3 linked regions of the Macaca mulatta genome follow. The protein of the gene in region 1 interacts with the protein of each later gene in a pairwise test. Links are inferred from orthologs where the notes say so. Each region holds a gene or a part of one and is shown on either strand. Other genes may lie near its edges.

Region 1 (4,300 bases):
ACCAGGGTTAGGAACGCCCACTCCAGACAGCGAGCCCAGAGGCGCTCTCTGCTGAGCCTCCCTGTGGCGCCCAGCTCTGCCACAGACTCTCGGTCCCCTCCGTGCTCAGCAGTGCTGGTGCTGAGGCCGCAGTGAGTAGGGCTCTGACGGGCAGGAGCCCACGCTTGGTTTCCGCGCTTGCAGCTGGCGCTGCACTTGGCCTGGCTGCCTTGCTTTTCCCGTGTTTCCCTTGTGGCCATTCATCCCTGTGTCCATCTGTGCCGGTTTCTAGTTTGTGAGCCTTGGAGAGAAGGGACCTTACAGGGTCGTGTCCCCTGCCCAGTGCCTGGCCCGTGGGGGACTATCAGTCACCACAAGGGACTTAGCTGGAGCTGAGCAGAGGGACCTGGGTAGTTAGGACACAGCCTCCTGGGTGTCAGGGGTGTGAGGAGTCAGGTGGTTGTGGGGGTTCAAGAAGTCGTTCTGGGGCTCAGGAAGGCAGGGTCCTGGATTCCCAGGTGAGATGGGCAGGCGGGGCCGGGGCCAGAGCCAGAGGCCACCAGATGGGTCTTTGGTGCCATGGCGGGTCCCCAGCCCCTCCCCTCAGAGGCAGGATGTGGTCCCCGCCGGCAGGGCCTCTCCTCCTGCCCTATGTGAGGCAGGGGGCTGGGGAAGGGCCCTGACGGAGCCGCTCCTGCCAGCCTGCACACCAGGTCCTGCCTGGGCAGGTCATGGGGCCGGGGTGGCCTCAGCCCAGAAGATGTGGTTTCGCGGCCCGCTGGCTTCAGTTCTCCTCCCGGCTTCCCAGAAGAGTCCAGTCTCACATCAGCCACTCATTTCCCTCTCCGGCAGCCGCTGGCTCTGAGCACGCCCTCTCTCGCCACAATCACAAGAAGTGAAACTGTCCCAGGAAATAGAGTGGAACGCCCCAAAAACACCTAGGGAGGGCGGCTCCTTCCTCCTCCTGCCTTCAGCAGAAATGGAGGGCAGCCCCACTCTCCTGCCGTGCAAGGGCCATTTCCTGCCTTTCACCTGTGCCAGAGTCTAGCCCTCCCGCGGTGGGTGTGACGAGGGGGTTTTTAAGAAGCTTCCAAGGTGTTGTGTGGCTGAGTTGAGAACCACCAACTCACAGGCAGGGAAGGGACGGGTCAGAGGCGTGGGGCCTGGAGGTCGTGTGTTCACTGAATGCCCGGCGCACATGAAGGCAGGTGGACAGAAAGGGTCCCGATGCGTGGGTGAGGATAGTCCCGTGGTGTGGGGGCTTCCAGAGCCAAGCCTTGGAGGAGGGCCGGGAATTCCTTGGGAAAGGGGCGGCTGTCTTTTTGGGCAGGATGCCAGGACACAAGACCAGCAGTGTACTCTGGGCAGGCTACCTTTTGCAGAGCTTGGGGTTGGGGGCATTTGCACTCGTGGTGCCCTGGGCTGTGACCTCCAGGCATGGGCTGGAGGGTACAGCAGGTGCCTGGCATGGGCAGAGCCCCAGGCTCAAGCTTCTCCCGCCCCCGCACTTCCTGCTCTTAGGTCCTGAACTCCTGACTGCCCTGCTGGACACCCCCCAGCCCCACACAGCCAACGCAATGTGGCACCGCAGGGACACTCATGACATCCCTTGGCGACATCTTGTGACAGCTCAGGGCAGGCAAGCACCAACCGGACCTGGAGAGCACCATGGTTGCCTGGTCCAGGGGCACAGGCCATGGCCCGTGTCAATAGTCACCAGCCCACGGCACACAACACCTCCCTCTCCTGCCCAGGCTGTGTGTGCACATCTTCACACAAGTGATCAGACCCGGGACGTTAAAGTTGCCGATGACTTGCCCCCAGAGGGCAGGGCCAAGCGTGTGACCTCAGGCAGCCTCCCTCTGGGAGCCTCCATTTCTGGCAGGACCCGGCAGCCACTCGGCTCTTCATGAAGTGCTGTCTGCTGGGAAGGGCCTCACACTATCCCTCTCGCTCTGTTCGGCATCCCTTGGCGCCAGGCACACATGGAGTGCCCGGGGTGAAGAAAGCAGCGCCTGTGCACCAACAGCGGTGCTGGGGTTCAGGGGCTCCTGCTATGTTCCATGGGACATTTCAGGGCTGTTCTTCGCATCCCAGGCGCTGTCAGAGGGAGTGGTTTGGGAGTTCAGTGCCTGCTTCTGCCTTCTCACTACACGAGGAAAGAGATGCTGTAAGTGCCTGTCATTGTCATCGCTTTCACTGTAGCTGAGAGCCATGAGGACTGAGGTGTGCCAGGCCTGTGTCGACTGCCTTGTGAAACTCAGTGTCCACATGGGGCAGGGGCCAGGCTGTCCCATCCTGAGACACGGGCACCAGAGCACAGGAGAGTGGTGGCCTCCCTGCCCAGCCGCCTGCACCTCTGCTCCTGTCAGCTCCTGCTGCCTCTCCCCACCGAGCTGGCAGGATTTTTTTTTTAAGTAGACCCCAAATACTCAAGGATGGGGGCAAATCCCCACATTGCTATCTGTGGGGATGTTTGTGTAGGCACTTCTGGAAGCAGTGTCTTCTGAGCCATGTGTTCCCAGGCTGAGGTTCTGGACTCCACCGTGGCCGAGATGGGGCCTACTGTGGCGGGGTCCCCAGTGGGCATGTGAGTGGCAGTCAGGACACACACAGGCGGGCAGGCTACCCCCACCCTCACCCTCCCTGTCCTGCAGGCCCGTCCTGCTCCACAGGCAGTGTGTGGCCCTGGGGTGCCCACGGCAGTGCCCGAGGTATGTGTCCTGATCACTTGGCCTACTGCCTCTGGCTGTGGATGCCATGTGGCTGGAAGGCCACCCAGGGCCTCCTGTGCTCTTCTTTATCCTCCCCCTGGGCTCACAGCGTTTCACCTCTTCTGCCCTCTAGCTGGTCAGTGAGAAGGTCGGAGGGGCCGAGGGGACCAAGCTGGACGATGACTTCAAAGAGATGGAGAAGGTGAGGAATAAACTGCATGCTCTGTGTGGTGGCGGCGCTGCTGGGGCCTGACCTCTGCAGGGCATAGTGGAGGCGGCCAACGCTGATGGGCCTGGGTCTGGACTCCTGGGGCCCTGCAGGCGTGGAGAGCTGGGGTGGTGTGGGGGCCTCGTCAGCTGGACTTGACAGGCACCAGCTCTCTCCCCTGCCCTGGGCAGGCAGCTGTGGGGACATGGCTGAGCTGAAGACATGGAGAGGGGGTTGGGGGGTCCTGGTATGGGCTCGTACGGCAGGAGGTGGTGCAGCAGTGGGGGCCTTGTGTGCCTTGGGCCCCCAGTGGCTGTGGAGTCTTTTTTTTTTTTTTTTTTTGAGACGGAGTCTTGCTCTGTCGCCCAGGCTGGGGTGCAGTGGCCGGATCTCAGCTCACTGCAAGCTCCACCTCCCAGGTTTATGCCATTCTCCTGCCTCAGCCTCCCGAGTAGCTGGGACTACAGGCACCCGCCACCTCGCCTGGCTAGTTTTTTGTATTTTTTAGTAGAGACGGGGTTTCACCGTGTTAGCCAGGATGGTCTCGATCTCCTGACCTTGTGATACACCCGTCTCGGCCTCCCAAAGTGCTGGGATTACAGGCTTGAGCCACCGCACCCGGCCTGGCTGTGGAATCTTATATGCTGCTTCTCTCCACAGAAGGTGGATGTCACCAGCAAGGCGGTGACAGAAGTGCTGGCCAGGACCATCGAGTACCTGCAGCCCAACCCAGGTGGGTGCTCTAGCCACTGCCAGGGCCTGCCCCAGGCCCTCTGGCCTCTGTCAGTCAGAGGGAACGTAGGGGATGACAGAACCACCAGGCTCATGGGTGGCAGGCTTCAGGCACAGCTGGATTCAGGGGTGCAGAGACCATCCTTGGCGCCACATGCTGCCTTTCCACCTCAGCCAGCAGCTCAGTCCCCCTGTTGACTTCACTATCATGCCGACTGATTCCTCGAGGCTGTCCCAGCCTTAAACCCCTCTTCCAGCCAGCAGTCCTGGCAGGGAGCCTCTCCCTCAGCTCACTTGTGGGACCTATTTGTATTGGCCGCCCCCTCACCCAGTGCCCCTGGGATGGGTCTCCCTGGCCGAGAGACGGACCTTTCCCCAAGGAAAACCCAAACACTGGCTCCATAGGAGGCCAAGGACAGTGGGTAGACGCACACCCAGCAGCGTCCACTCAGGCCCTGCCAGGAGCAGGCAGCAGAAGGGACACGGCTCCTCACCTACCCTGGGAGCCTTGGCCTCACCACCCCCCACTGCATATGACTGCTGTGCCTCCTCCCTGGGACCCCCCAGATGAGAGGTATAGCCACATTCCAAGAGGAGCAGCCCTTGGAAGGAGGATGTGTTGCCCCCTGAGGAGCTTGGTCACCTCTCCACCCGCTGCCAGTTCCTT
Region 2 (4,068 bases), on another chromosome or scaffold:
GTTCAGTCTGTGACTCCTAATGAGTCGGTATGTGACATAATCTACTGTGAAGTGAAGGAGACTGGTGGAGCCACGGTAGAAGAAATAGAAATGAGGAAATTAACTAACCAGGGTTTTCCCACTTTCATTCCCTGACGAGAACAAATAATCATTGCTGATACGGATTCAAATGCTGAGGACTTTCCCATACTATATCAAGGGCAGCAAACCTCCAGTTATTCAAGATCCAACAAAGGAATAGCTCAGCTAACACAGCACCTTTCTTAAAAGAGAGAAATGATAAGAAGCAAGCCCACACCTGCAATTTATTCTGAACAGCAATTGCTAAAGGATCAGAGAATCTGTTGTTTTCCATGATACCATAGATTTGACCTGATTCTCACACCTTCACACTGTTCTACCATACAACTGTCTTTTGGATAACTCTGATACCTAAACAAAATAAAAAATTTTAAAGGCCTAAGATACAGCCTAAATCATAAAAATAGTAGGCCAGGCACAGTGGTTCAAAATGTAATCCCAACACTTTGGGAGGTGAATGTGGGTGGATTGCTTGAGCTCAGGAGTTCGAGACCAGCTTGGGTAACATGCCAAAACTCCATCTCTACACAAATATAAAAATTAGCCAGGTGTGGTGGCCCACACCTAGAGTCCGACCTACCTGGGAGGCTGAGGTGGGAGGATCACTTGAGCTGGAGAGTTTGAGGCTGCAGTGGGCCAAGATCGCACCACTGCACTACAGCCTGGGTGATAGAAGGAGACCCTGCCTCAAAAATGAAAAACATTAGGTCGGTGCAAAAGTTATTGTGTTTTTTTATGGCCTAAATAAATAAATAAATGTGGTTTTTGCCATAAAAAACACAACTACTTTTGCACTTACCCAATAAAATAAAAAATAAATAAAAGTATTGTGGTATGGACAGTGTAACTATAACATTAACAATACAGCTTGAATTCTAATTCTTTTAAAACAGCCAGCTCTGTGGTCGAGCTTTGTTTTCTTATTCAAACTTTATCTTATTCATCTACCAGCAAAAGAGCTGTTTTTGGAGATGAAACAAATTACCAGAGATGACAGCAATTTGGCAAGTTTTGTAAATATATACTATTCTTCAGAAATTTGAAGTTACTGTACACACAGATTTAGTATACATAGAAAATTCCACTCCTATGCCAAATCTATGCCCCTGTATGCTTTCCACTTATTTATTCACTATTTTAAAATAATGGTACCCAAGTCGTTGTTTCCATTAAACCAGCAATCAAATAAAAGCCTTTTGGGCGATGAGGAGCATCTGTTCGGAAGGGGGAGGTGCCACGCTTGCTGTTTCTCTAAGCTCCCTGGGAAGGGAAAGACAACTCAGAAAACCTACAAACTGTAGCTCCTTCCGGTGCCCGCGTAACCCCCGAGTCCAGGAGCGGGCAGGGGCGCCGCTTGGTTGAGCCCAGTGGGCACCCGGTCTGGGTCTGGGCCAGCCCCGCCGCAGCAGCCCCTGGGAGGCGGCGCTGCACGGGCCTCCGCGCGCGCCCTGACCCCACTTGGGGGCGCCCCTGGGTGCCGGCGCGCGGGGAACGCGCTGCCGGGGTGCTGCGCCGGCTGCCACTGTTTCCCGGGACTTCCCTCTTGGAAGATCTCCAGGCGCAGGTCCAGGACGTGCTCCTGCTAGGAGTCTAGAAACTCCAGTCCAGCCCGGACCCTCCCGGGGCCTGCACTCCCTGCGGGTAGAAGCACGCGCCGCGTGTCCCCGCCGGATCCCAGAACTTCCCCGAAAGTCCTCAGCTCCGGCAGACCCTCTCCCTCGAAGTTCCCCCCGCCACCCCTTGCAAGCCCCCAGACCCCGGGGACAGCCGCTCACCTAGCCAGCGGCTCCAGTCACCGGACACCGGACACCGGACACCGGATACCCGCCGCAGCCGCTCTAGCCGCCTAACCCCGCACCTGAGCCCGCCCCGGGCGGCGCGAAGGGGTGGAGGCGGGGGTGAGGCTTCCGCCCGCCCCCTCTGGCCCCTGCGCCTCCCATGCACCCCTGCAACCCCCGAGGAAATTCCCTTCCCCCTACTCCCACCCCATGCACACTCTCGCCAAAGCCTCTCCCCAACCCCAGCACCTACCAGTGCTGGGCGCCCCTGGGCAGGGTGGCCCGATCACCCGCCACATCCACTTGGCCGCCAGAAGCCGTCGGGGAAGGGAGGGAGGGAAAGGCAGAAGCGTCCCAAGCGGCGCAGGCGGGCTGAGCAAATACTCTGACCGGGACGCCAAACAGCTCCTGCAGCCGGCCCGCCCGCGCCGCCCCGCCGCGCCCACATGCCGGGTGACTAGCGGGGCGCGATCGCGGCCCCACCCGGGCGCCTGGAGGCTCTCCAGGGACAGTCGTCGGCCAGGCTGCGTGGCCTGCGCATCTCGGGCCGCCTGGTCTGCGCGCTGTCCCCGAGCTGCGGTAGTCCGGGGTAGCCTTGCTCCTCTCCTCTCTTAGTTCGTGGGACTGGGATCTGCAGTCTATGATCTCTTGGGGACTGCAGGACTTAGATTAAATCAGCAGGTCTGGGCCTTTCCATGTTTCAGAGCTCGGGGTTCCATGCGAGGTGGAGGGTAGGAGGGTGCGCGGGCCCCACTTGTTCACTCGGCTTGGGTGCCGCAGGCCAAGGCGACTCTAGAGCTTTTTTTTTCTTTCTTTTGTTGACATTAAGTAAATGATCAAACTCTTTGGCACTTGTCGGTACAGGTGTGGCTTTGTAGGACAAGATGAAGGACGGAAAAGGCTGAGAAGGAGACCGCAGTCAACACAGACCAGGAGAAAATGAAAGAAAACTGGGGAAAAAGTTAAGATGCTGAAAGGAGTCTTGTGGATTGCAACAAGAACAGGTTGGGTTGGGGCCTGAAGACATCAGGGAGGAGCTGGCAGTCCACAGTTAGAGGAAATCTTGGAGGAAAATTCAGCAGAAGCAGAGTGGAAAGGCATTTCCACTGGAGGGCATTTTCCATCCTAGAGGAGTATGTGGAAGAAAACCGCCTGCTTTGGTGAACCCCAGATTTTATGTGTTGGGAGAGATGTAATAAATAGCAAACACCAGTAGTCCTCTCCACAGACTACCTGACCTCTTCAGGAGCCTGACCTGCTGGGTTCAAACATAAAACGTCATTCCCCGCCTTTACAAACGGCAGAAGCTATGCAGTCACATCAAGCCTCGGGGCAGGCGGCATTGTCAGGAAACAAGACCCAGCTATTTAGGAACCATTCCAGGGATCCCATCAGGGAGAAATTTCTGGTCTAAGGCTTAGTTCCTACTGCAGTTTAAATGATAGCCTATGGGGTGCTTTAGGCTGGAGTGGGATTGGCCCCTGGAAAGCTACTATGGCGAGGTCGAAATGAATCCTAGCCCTGCATGGATGGATCGGTTAACTATACAGGGTGGTTTATCTGGAAAAATCCCATAGGACACTGTGACAGCCACTTACCTTTCTCATACCCAGTCTCTCTCCAGGTCCTGACAAGTCCTTCCTTATAATAGCTCTGTCACTGTGCTACTAACCTCTGTACCTCAATTTCTTCTCTGGATAGAGTGTCTGCCTCCGTAAGTTGTTAAGAGGGTTAAATGAGATACCGCATGCAAAGGGATTAGAACAGCTCTTGGCATGTGGTGAGTGTTCAAACACATTTGCTCAGATCAGTTCATATCACATTAAGGTACTATAATTCCAGGTTCCTGCTATCTCACCCTAGGCTATGGTTCTGCCCACCATGCCACTTACATTCCAAGTCATTCCCAGGGATCCCGTCTTCCTGTTATTCATACCCTTGCATAGCTCCCCGCCACTTTGTAAAGGTTGGTTTGCTTGACCAATAGAACCCGGCAGAAGTGATGATGGTATGCCACTTAGGAGATTAGGTAAGGAAACATCTTGGAGCTTCTATCTTGAAAGAATGTTAACAGCCCAAAGGAACACACACTGTACACAAATAGCACAATCAGCTCAGAACCCAGACTCTTCCCTTTTCTCTCTGCCCCTTTCCATCCTTCTTGTCTCATGCCTCTTTCCTGTATTTGGCATGATCTCTTCTTCTCTTA
Region 3 (4,003 bases), on another chromosome or scaffold:
AAATTATTTTCTAACACTGTTGGCAGAGTGACACATCCTTTCAGTGGTTTATTGCTCTCAGCATAAAAATAATTGTCTTTAACATTACCTACCAGACTCTTACCTTCTATTTCACACTGCTCTCCCTACCCAAGCTCCAGCCGCGTAATTCCTTTCCTTTCCTTTCCAAAGTTGTTACACATTCCTCAGCCCCAACCTCCACCCTACTTCTATTTACACTTCAAAATCTTATACCTTAAAAATCTTCCTCTTTTAAGTGTTATTTAACCTGGGAACCCCTTCTAGTCCTTTCAGACAAATCTACTACATACTGTCTCATTTCTACTACTTGTTAATTGCAATTAAATTTGTTTGTGTGATTTGATTAATGATTGACACTCCTCTTGACTATAAGCTCCATGAGGATAGCATTTCTTTCCTTTTCATCATAGGCACTCATAAATATTGGTTAATTGAATCAAAGGAAGCAAAGTGGGAGTGGAGAAAAGTTGTTTAATCCAGAGACAGTAAGATATATTGATCCCCTGTCTCATACCAGGCATTCGCTTTGATATGTTCCTTATTTTCATTCTTTTTTAAAAAATATTTATTTATTAGCCGGGCGCGGTGGCTCAAGCTTGTAATCCCAGCACTTTGGGAGGCCGAGACGGGCGGATCACGAGGTCAGGAGATCGAGACCATCCTGGCTAACACGGTGAAACCCCGTCTCTACTTAAAAAAATACAAAAAAACTAGCCGGGCGAGGTGGCGGACGCCTGTAGTCCCAGCTACTCGAGAGGCTGAGGCAGGAGAATGGCGTGAACCCGGGAGGCGGAGCTTTCAGTGAGCTGAGATCCAGCCACTGCACTCCAGCCTGGGCGACAGAGCGAGACTCCGTATCAAAAAAAATAAATCATTTATTAAAGAAAAGGGCTTGCTCTTTCACCCAGGCTGGAATGCAGTGGCAGGACGGTAACTCACTCCAATCTCTACCTCCTCAAGTGATCCTTTGCCTCAGTCTCCTGAGTAGCTGGGACTACAGGTACCACCACGCCTGGCTAATGTTTCGTAGAGATGAGGTGTTGGGATTAAAGGCGTGAGCCACAGCGCCCAAGGGCTCCCTATATTCTTTTTATTTGAGAGGAGTCTCGCTCTGTCGTCCAGGCTGGAGCGCAGTGGCACAATCTCAGCTCACTGCAACCTCCACCTCCCGGGTTCAAGCAGTTCTCTGCCTCAGCCTCCCGACTAGCTGGAATTACTGGCGCTCGCCATGACGCCCAGCTGGTTTTCGTGGTTTCACCATGCTGGCCAGGCTGGTCTCAAACTCCTGGCCTCAAGTGATCCGCCCACCTCGGCCTCCCAAAGTGCTGGGATTACAGGCATGTGCCACTGTGCCTGGTCTTGGCCTTCCTTATTTTCATTCATTTAATTCTCATAGCAATCTGGCAACAATTTACTTCTCAGACACAGAAGCTGAGGATCAGAGGTAACATAAAGACACACAGATTAAGAGTACGTTAGATATAAATTAAAATTTAAATATCAAGGCTGGGCTCCGTGGCTCAAACCTGTAATCCCAGCACTTTGGGGAGGCCGAGGTGGGCTAATGGAGGTCAGGAGTTCGAGACCAGCCTGGTCAACATATCGAAACTCAATCACTACCAAAAATACCAAAACTACCTGGGCGTGGTGGTGCGCGCCTGCAGTCCCAGGCTGAGTCAGGAGAATCGCTTGAACCGGGAGGCAGAGGCTGCAGTGAGCCGAGATCGGCTACTGCACTCCAGCCTGGGCGACAGAGTGAAACTCGATTCATTAAAAAAAATAATAATCTCAATTACTTCTTCCTACCACCCTTTTCTCCTGTTACCATTTCCCTCTAGCCCCGATATTCGGTTAATTCTTTCTGACAGGACAAAGCACCTCTTCAAAACAGAAAAACCGGCGGGCAGCAGCAGCGCGCGCCTGTGGTCCCAGCAGCACTTTGGAAGGCCGAGGTGGGAGGATCGCTTGAGCCTGGGAGGTCGAGGTTGCAGTGAGCAGTGATGGTGCCACTGCACTCCAGCCCGGGAGACAAAGTGAGAGACCCTGTTCCAAAACTAACCTGAAAGCCTGATTTTTTAACTTTTTCTTTTGGGATGGAGTTTCGCTCTTGTTGCCCAAGCTGGGGGTGCAATGGCGCCTTCTCGGCAAACCACAACCTCCGCCTCCCGGGTTCAAGCGATTCTCCTGCTTCAGCCTCCCGAGTAGCTGGGATTACAGGTGTGCGCCACCACACCCAGCTAATTTTGTATTTTTAGTAGAGACGGGGTTTCTCCATGGTGGTCAGGCTGGTCTCGAACTCCCGACCTCAGGTGATCCGTCCGCCTCGGCCGCCCAAAGTGCTGGGATTACAGGCGTGAGCCACCGCGCCCGGCCTCTTTCTTTCCCCCTATCTTTTGACACCCTCAACCTCCTCAACTAACCCTAGAAAACCTCATTTCTTGTCTCCTCACTCCAATATACCAGGCTGCAATCATGTTCTTGGGCTTTACTCTTAAAAAAAAAAAAAAAAAAGTCAAGAGGAGAAAATTCGAAGGCGCATTCTTTTCTCCTCAATAGAAAAATCAAGAGTGCCCAGGGAAGACAGAAACACGAAGACGAAGACAGAAAACAAATCCACTAAAACTGTACTGACCTCCTTGCCTTTTGCCTTCTCCATACTTGTAGAAGCGGAGCCTCGCAAATGCTTCCAAAATGGCCCCAGCCCTAAGATTGCTGTTTGCAAAGTCTCCTCCCACTTCCTGCCGCCCGAAGACCCTTTTTCTCCCCTCCTCACCTCTTATTTTCTTCTCCCCGTCTGTTCCCTCCCCCACAATTTGTAAATGCTAAAATTGCATTCTTTCTTATTCATGGGGTGACCTTTGTCTGGGTTGAATTACTAATACCATTCCTGGCCCTTTTCTGTGCACTTTAAATGTAATTATCCAAAGTATGGTTCCGGAGACTTTGGGAGATTCAGGACTCCTTCAGAACGATTCTACAGAGAGAGAAAAAAAAAATGTGGCCAGAGACTTGAGCAGGATGTGTGAAGGGATTTAATAATGGGACTTGTGTAAACAGTAGACTTCAGGGACCAGACTGGCGGCTTGAAGAAAGCTATTTTCTCGTACCAAATACATTCCATTTCCTAAGTTACTCACTCAACTAAAATTCCAGGTTTCTCTGTACTAATACCCAGCATCATTTCATCTGCCAACGAACTAATAATAGTAGCTCTTAAAGTCTATAGAATATTTGTTATTTATTTATTTTGTAGAGGGCAAGTTGGGTGTGGGTGGGGATCTCGCTATTTTGACCAGGCTGGTCTCGAACTCCTGCCCTCAAGTGATTCTCCAGCCTTGTCCTCCCAAAGTGTTGGGATTACAGGCGTGAGCCACCACTCCCAGCCCAAGTATTTTTTTATATCTCAAATTGAGGGTTTAAAACTCAGTCATTATTGTTCCCCATTTTATATATGACTAAAGTTTGGTATAAAATTTTATTGGTAACTTTTCCAATAGCACAGTAAGTGAACCCCTAACCTACTGACTCCCAAAGAAGTTCAAGTTTTTCTCCTTAAAATAATTTGAAAAATCCTTCCTCAGATCAATGTTCCCTGTCAGGTTGTCAAGAGATGTGAAGTGAAGGAAGCAGTGGCTGTGCGACTGAAACCCTCCCTTGTCAGGGTCCAAAGTCTCCTTCGTTCTTTGGTTTACTTTGTTGTATTTTTTTCGCTTGTCCTAAAATGATAAATAAGAGACCATCTTTAATCCAAATGGTGTTAGTAATCTGCTCACAGGCTAGAAATCCACGGACAGAGAAAGTAACTAAACGGAGCCTAGGAATGGAGAAGGAAGTGCAGGTTGTGGACTGGGCAACCCCCAAGGTGGCAAAGAGGAAACCAGGTGAGTTGAGGTCATCTGGGAGATATTAGGGCTTTGATTTAACAATTCTTTACTACAGCCTTTGATAACCACCAGTATGACTTACTAGTTAAGGTTTGTGT

What was found.
Region 2: the proteins of SH3GL1 (region 1) and SH2D4A interact in binary tests that used the Homo sapiens proteins (3 or more experiments, as listed by UniProt). The two-hybrid records come from large-scale screens. The link is inferred for Macaca mulatta from reciprocal best matches to the Homo sapiens genes SH3GL1 and SH2D4A.
Region 3: the proteins of SH3GL1 (region 1) and DPPA4 interact in binary tests that used the Homo sapiens proteins (3 or more experiments, as listed by UniProt). The link is inferred for Macaca mulatta from reciprocal best matches to the Homo sapiens genes SH3GL1 and DPPA4.

The regions. Positions count from the first base shown.
Region 1 is NC_133424.1:5,195,533-5,199,832, reverse strand, and holds the start of SH3GL1 (endophilin-A2), read left to right. Parts: upstream 1-1,500; 5' UTR 1,501-1,888; coding exon 1,889-2,149; exon of another isoform or gene 2,150-2,826; coding exon 2,827-2,895; coding exon of another isoform or gene 2,896-2,940; exon of another isoform or gene 2,941-3,339; intron 3,340-3,561; coding exon 3,562-3,634; coding exon of another isoform or gene 3,635-3,683; intron 3,684-4,300. UniProt on the Homo sapiens protein: Implicated in endocytosis. May recruit other proteins to membranes with high curvature.
Region 2 is NC_133413.1:20,954,308-20,958,375, reverse strand, and holds the start of SH2D4A (SH2 domain-containing protein 4A), read right to left. Parts: upstream 2,801-4,068; 5' UTR 2,159-2,800; coding exon of another isoform or gene 2,113-2,158; intron 2,038-2,112; exon of another isoform or gene 1,857-2,037; intron 764-1,856; exon of another isoform or gene 662-763; intron 1-661. UniProt on the Homo sapiens protein: Inhibits estrogen-induced cell proliferation by competing with PLCG for binding to ESR1, blocking the effect of estrogen on PLCG and repressing estrogen-induced proliferation. May play a role in T-cell development and function.
Region 3 is NC_133407.1:174,302,065-174,306,067, reverse strand, and holds the start of DPPA4 (developmental pluripotency-associated protein 4), read right to left. Parts: upstream 2,801-4,003; 5' UTR 2,678-2,800; coding exon 2,654-2,677; intron 1-2,653. UniProt on the Homo sapiens protein: May be involved in the maintenance of active epigenetic status of target genes. May inhibit differentiation of embryonic cells into a primitive ectoderm lineage.